Neurospora crassa OR74A: one gene and its partner. The protein of the gene in region 2 binds, or shares a complex with, the protein of the main gene of each other region. Links are inferred from orthologs where the notes say so. Each region holds a gene or a part of one and is shown on either strand. Other genes may lie near its edges.

The links. The genes of interacting proteins can lie anywhere in the genome.
Region 1: the proteins of NCU08341 (region 2) and NCU03368 are in contact, whole or in part, in an NMR structure (PDB 2GGP), measured with the Saccharomyces cerevisiae proteins. The link is inferred for Neurospora crassa OR74A from reciprocal best matches to the Saccharomyces cerevisiae genes CCC2 and ATX1. Residues at the interface, in NP_010556.1 of Saccharomyces cerevisiae: Cys13, Ala15, Cys16, Thr19, Gln23, Glu60, Asp61, Cys62, Gly63, Phe64, Asp65; in NP_014140.1 of Saccharomyces cerevisiae: Thr14, Cys15, Gly17, Cys18, Ala21, Lys24, Val25, Lys28, Lys59, Lys61, Lys62, Thr63, Gly64, Lys65.

The regions. Positions count from the first base shown.
Region 1 is NC_026502.1:943,135-945,776, forward strand, and holds NCU03368 (hypothetical protein), read right to left. Parts: upstream 1,659-2,642; 5' UTR 1,259-1,658; coding exon 1,168-1,258; intron 1,042-1,167; coding exon 839-1,041; 3' UTR 585-838; downstream 1-584. Other genes in the region: mig-8 (pirin), read left to right, coding at 1-344; NCU03367 (hypothetical protein), read right to left, coding at 2,350-2,642. UniProt on the Saccharomyces cerevisiae protein: Copper homeostasis factor that specifically transports copper to the secretory pathway for incorporation into copper enzymes destined for the cell surface or extracellular milieu.
Region 2 is NC_026501.1:5,688,004-5,691,758, forward strand, and holds the start of NCU08341 (CLAP1), read left to right. Parts: upstream 1-1,506; 5' UTR 1,507-1,938; coding exon 1,939-2,009; intron 2,010-2,085; coding exon 2,086-3,755. UniProt on the Saccharomyces cerevisiae protein: Copper-transporting P-type ATPase necessary for the proper uptake of iron. Required for export of copper from cytosol into extracytosolic compartment.

The sequences.
Region 1 (2,642 bases), on a different chromosome or scaffold from region 2:
TGCCGGAGGGGTGGAACGCGTTTGCGTATACTTTGGAGGGCACCGCCATCTTCAGCTCGGGCAAGGACGGCGAGAAGAGGACGGTGGAGCAATTCCACAATGTGGTGTTTGAGCCGCAGGGCGAGGCGGTTTATGCCGAGGTGGATGCGGGCGCGGAGAAGCCGGCGAGGTTTGTTTTGGTTGCGGGAACACCGCTCGATCAGAAGGTGGTGCAGTATGGCCCGTTTGTGCTGAACAGTCAGGAGGAGGTGTACCAGGCTTTTGTGGATTACCAGACGCATTCGAACGGGTTTGAGAGGGCGCAGGGGTGGAGGAGCGAGATTGGAAAGTCGATGAGGCACTAAAGGGGGGAAAACGGGGAGTTGAGATACCAGTTTGCTTTTTTTGTTTGTTACTATCAAGTTGGATATGGGAGAGTAGGGTTAGCTGGGTAGAATAGATTCTGATGCATTTTCTGAACACTTCGTTTGGTCTAGTTGCTGTGATGCTATATCTGAGGTGTTCGACGAGGTCCAAGCTCTGAATGATTAGTACTTCGACAAGACTTCAAATGGGAACATCGAGCTTGACATAGCATAGCCACTCGAGATGGACAAATCTCAGTAGTTATCCGTTAAAACAAACAGCTTTATTGTAAATCAAAAAGGTATATTCTAAACCAAGCCATGCGCAATTCAGCCGCCCGAATTCATTCGTATGCCTTATACAATTCCTCCACCGCCTGCTTTCCCTTGTTCTAATTCATATTCTATGTTCTTCCGATCACCATATTGGGCGTGGTGTTGCCCCCAATGTCTTCCCCATATGATGTGTGTATATCGTCCTTGCCTGCATGCCCTTACTCGTCCTTAAGCACAACATCCACGTCACGAATCTTGTTCCCATTGCTGTCCAATTCCACGCAGGAGTTGACACCCTTGCCAGTCTTCTTGATTGTTCGGAGGATCTTTTCGTAAAGGGCAGGGGACTCGTCATCGACGGTGACGTTGGCGCTCTTTTCATCGAGGAGGACGGTGTAGGATACGATGTTTGATTCGTTCTCTGGTCATTGTCAGTTATGCATGCTTCTTTAGTACCGGGCGGCGGGCAGGGCAATCGGAATGTATTTGAAAAGGAAACCTTGGGGGGGGGGGGGGGGGAGCGGGGGTATGGACAGAGACAACGGACCTTTAAGTCTCTTGAGGACGCGGTCAACGGCGCCGGAGCAGCCCCCGCAGGTCATGGTGACATCGAACTTGTAGGTGTAGGAGCCGGACATTTTTGACGGGTTTGTTGGGTTGGTAATATCAGTGTTCAGATGACAGTTTATCGAAGTGCAAGTTGCGACAATGGTATGCGATGCGGTGCGGGGCAGTTGTGTGGAAACGTGCAACAATAGTAGTAAGTGAGGTGTTCGTGGATCGCGGGAATGGGGGGAGCGCGGACTTGGAGTCGGGAGGGGCAGCACTTTAAATAAGCTTCGCGACTGGGATAGCAATGAGCCAAAATGGGAGGAGCGGAACTTGGAACAACTCCCTACAGACAACGAGGTAACTTCACTCAGGGATACGGGCGAAAAAGCGAACCTGACAGATTGCAATAGAGACGCATTACTGATACGGAAGGAAAGATGGAGGACAAGCTTAATAATTTGCTCATTGCGTGGTGCTTACTGTCAGGTACGCCTGCCTGGTACCGCTACGCCTCAGATGATCTCGCGATGGTGTATCAGGGGACTCCGTGTCAACCGCAGATCTCCCAAGAAGGGATTCATGTTGCTTCCGTTGTTGGTGCGTGAGACGTCGCGCGATGGCGTCAGTCCCGCTTTCCCACTGTCCTGTTCTTGCTGCAAATGCCACATCAAACGAAGCTTTAACAGTGCCGCGCAGACTGTAACACTCGTGTCTCCACCCGCGTTTAGCAGCGAACCCTCGGTCGGTGTACTAAATAAGCGACGGACTGCCCTGAGCTTGAAACTTGCTCACCGAGACTGTCTCATGTCTTGTGATCCTGGACATCGGATTCTTGATCGGCTCAAACCGAACGTGAAGACACATACACTACCTATGTATACCTGTGCTGCTCCTTGGGTTGCCCGTCGTTGTTTATGCGTCGTAGAATATCGAAGGCTCAGAAGTTTGTTAGGGGTTTCGGTCTAACGCCGTGCGGAAAAGGTACATAGTGCTTCACAACATGTTTTGAATTGGTCCTGTACTGAATGGAAATAGTCGATGGTTCAAGCAGCATTTGCCTCATGGAAACAGCCATTGCGCTTTAGCTAATTCGCTACTACACCACTGTCCAAAATGGCAGTCTTCCAGTAATTTATTTCCCTTTTCCACTAATTATACTCTCCGGAGGAACATCTATCTACCTCCGAGCAGTCTCCTCCTCGTCGGTATCATCCGCATCCTCCACCGTCGCCCTCCTGTTGGGTGTGCCACCCTGTCCAAACTCCAATTCGAGTTCAGGATCAAGCTGATCCTCATACCAGTGATCCTCGTCTTCAAAGTCATCATCACCCCATCCATCATCGAAATCATCTTCCCAACCCCCAGGCATGACATCACCTCTCTGATTACCTTCACCTCCTTCCGCGCCGCCTGCTGCTCCGCCTGTCCATCCTTGACCCGTCAAAACATCCACGATCCTCCGCCACACCC
Region 2 (3,755 bases):
GATGCTTAATGTGTACATGGTATGGTGTTTCTCGCAGCCGGAGGTAGCGGTTAGCTTTCCCAGCTCTTGTACGTCTCTCTCTTTTCTTGTTGCTCTTGAGACTGCTGTGCTGATGGAGCACTTTTGGCGCCAAATTGGCTGTGTCAAAGTCACGTTTTGAAACGACAAGCCGCGCCTGTTGGTGACCAGCATTTGCGAATCTAGGCGCAAGGGGTCCCCTGAAACATCGGGATGGCAACGCGTTTGAAGTGGAGAAATCTAGACAAAGAGATCAGGAGTAATCGCCGTGACGCCACGATATCTCTGAAGATGTGAACTGCCAGTTTTCAATCTGATTCTTCCTTTTCAAAATATAGTGTTGCACAGTATGCCCGTGGTTCATACAGCGTGGCGATGAAGACACTCCCGCTATTCCCAAGACCCTTCCCATGTTGTGGTGTTGCTGAAGGCAGTACGTTCTTTGGTGCCATCCTATCGGTACCTCTATGATCGGGGAGTTCACATGGCAATTCCTGAAAGGTCCAATCGTTGAGAGGCTTTTGTTGTTTGCGTTGGTGAGTGGTGCGATCGGTAAAAATCGCGGGTTTCTAACAAGGAGGTGCAGGTCGTAGGTAGCACTGGGACATGAATGCCGATCCAAGCCGCACCTCATGTGACGACTCGTCAATATTGGACCTCTTGATTGTTGGAAGTGTGAAGCAGAATCCCGAAAAATATAGCAGAATGCGGCATGGAAATTGAGTTTGTGACTCTACTCAGCCCTTTCGACCATCAAGCGAGGCCATAAGCTCGCTGGATTTCTCAGCCCCTCTTGCCCGAGTGTTGTGTTACACCGACCACAACTGTTTCGGTCAAGCTGAGCAAGCAAGCCATAGCACGGGAAGCATGACTCGAGATCAGGATTATGTGTCGTAGTAAGTAAGCTCAGCAAGGTAAGCAGCCATGATCACTAATCGGGCAAAGGTCAGAAGTGCAGGCCAAAACTCAATGGCAATCCAACATATAGACTATGTACATGGGTACATATGTCCTGGCTCTCGTCCTGCGTAGGTACAATGTTATCTTGCATGATGCCTTGTGATACCTTTTCGGACAAGATTATACGAGATTGCTGGGTTGTTTCTGTCTGTATTGGTTCAATGTATGATAGACGCCTGTCTGGCGCAATACCACGAGAAAGAATCGCACAGACTTTGTGTTCCTACCTACTATACCGGTTGTTGACGATAACTCGGGGTCCCAGGGGCACTGAATGGCAGTCCGGTAGGTCTCGGTCACTCGGATCTCGCCCCACCCCACTTCGTGAATTGCCCTGAAGGCTCCCGCTCAGATCCCGTTTCACGCCATAGGTAGGAGAAAGTGTCAGTGGTAAGAGACCCCTGTGTGCATTCTCAAGGAACCGTAGAAGTACGCTGTGAGTGGCTGACAAACCTTCAGTCGATGGAGGATTCTTCTCAACCCCTTCCCGCTCATGTTTCCAAAGTTCCTTTCTCAAGCCCCACCCCCCCCTCCCCGGTTGCGTCCCTCCACTCTCCCGGGTTCCTCGTCAAAGTTGCCAGCTCCCTGCTGCAGGTTTGGCGCCATTTGGTCTCATGTAACGGTACCGAAAGCTCCGCTATGCCTTCGATATTAACACCCGTCCTTATTCACACTCATTCCTCCACTACATATTAACTGCATCGACTTCGCCAACACCATCGCTGGAAGCTGGCGCCTACTTTACCCTTTTAACTCTTTTGCGCAAAAGCGGTGGTCCCGGGTCGTCTCCCATATGAGCCGCCCTCCGAACACAGCGTGCTTTTCTCCTATGTTTTAGCCTAGGGGCTCTTGTTTCGGAATCACTGCGCTTCGAAATCTCGCTTTCCGCATGTCATTTGCGCTGCAGCGTATTTGATAAAACATCTGCCTCGTTGTACGAGCTCTTGCGGAACCAGCAAGATGGCACCAGCATATATACAAGTCCCATCTGGGCATATGGCTACCACAACCCTCAAGGTTGAGGGCATGACGTGAGTCGCACAATACTTGACTTTGTCTCGGCTCCCTCGGAGGTGTGGAGAAGACATGGTGACTGACTTCACGCAGATGCGGCGCCTGCACTTCGGCCGTGGAAGCTGGCTTCAAGGGCGTCAATGGAGTTGGTAGCGTATCGGTCAGCCTGGTAATGGAACGCGCCGTGGTCATGCACGACCCCGACCAGATAACCGCGGACAAAATCAAACAGATCATCGAAGACCGAGGGTTCGACGCCGAGGTGCTGGCCACCGACCTCCCGACGCCTATGATCGCCAGGCACCCCGAACAAGACCTGGAAGCTTCCGATGACTCCCCATTAATGATCACTACTGTCGCAATCGAGGGCATGACATGCGGCGCTTGCACATCAGCGGTCGAAAACGCATTCAAGGACGTATCCGGCGTACGACATTTTAGCATTTCCCTACTCTCCGAGAGAGCTGTTATCGAGCATGACCCGACACTGTTGAGTGCCGATGGCATCTGCGAAGCTATTGAAGACCGCGGATTTGGGGCGACTGTTGTTGAGAGTGTCCATAAGCAGCCCGAGAGAGAATCTGTTCCCGGCGCGGCGACATCCTCCCAACCGTCAAATGCGACCACGACAGTAGCTATCGAGGGTATGACTTGCGGCGCCTGCACTTCAGCTGTGGAACAAGGATTCAAGGATGTGAACGGGGTTCTGAAATTCAACATCAGCCTTCTCGCTGAGCGAGCGGTTATTTTGCACGATCCAACGTTATTGCCGGCTGACAAGATCGTCGAGATCATCGAAGATCGTGGGTTTGATGCCAAGATTCTAACCAGTACATTTGACCAGCCCAGTCAGTCTGGGGGTACTTCGACAGCACAATTCAAGATCTATGGAAATATTGACGCTGCCGCGGCCAACAAGCTAGAAGATGCGGTTCTTGCGCTGCCCGGAGTCGCCAGTGCCAAACTGGCCATTGCGACATCCAGGCTGACTGTCACCCATTTACCTAATGTTACAGGACTTCGAGCTATTGTCGAGACCGTCGAAGGCGCTGGTTTCAATGCCCTTGTGGCAGACAATGATGACAATAATGCCCAGCTGGAGTCGCTCGCCAAGACGCGAGAAATCAACGAATGGAAGCAGGCGTTCAGAATCTCGGCTGCTTTCGCTATCCCGGTCTTCTTTATCAGCATGATCTTGCCAATGTTCCTGAAGTTCCTTGACTTCGGCAAGGTCAGACTAATTCCAGGTCTATACCTTGGAGATGTGGTCTGCTTAGTTCTCACGATACCGGTTCAGTTTGGCATCGGAAAGCGCTTCTATGTTTCGGCATGGAAGTCAATAAAACATAAATCGCCGACTATGGATGTCCTTGTTGTTCTCGGCACCTCGTGTGCTTTCTTCTTCAGCATTGTCGCCATGGTCGTCTCAATATTATTTCCTCCGCACACCCGGCCGAGCACCATCTTCGATACCAGTACCATGCTGATCACCTTCATCACCTTTGGCCGTTTCCTCGAGAATCGGGCCAAGGGTCAGACATCCAAGGCACTCTCACGCCTCATGTCCTTGGCTCCATCGATGGCTACCATTTATGCAGACCCCATCGCGGCGCAAAAGGCTGCCGAGGGTTGGGATCGTAACGCAGACTCTTCCGACTCTCAAGAGCCGCGTGAAGGCAATGCAGCGGATGAGAAGGTCATTCCTACAGAGCTTATCCAGGTCGGCGACATCGTTCTCGTTCGTCCTGGTGATAAGATTCCCG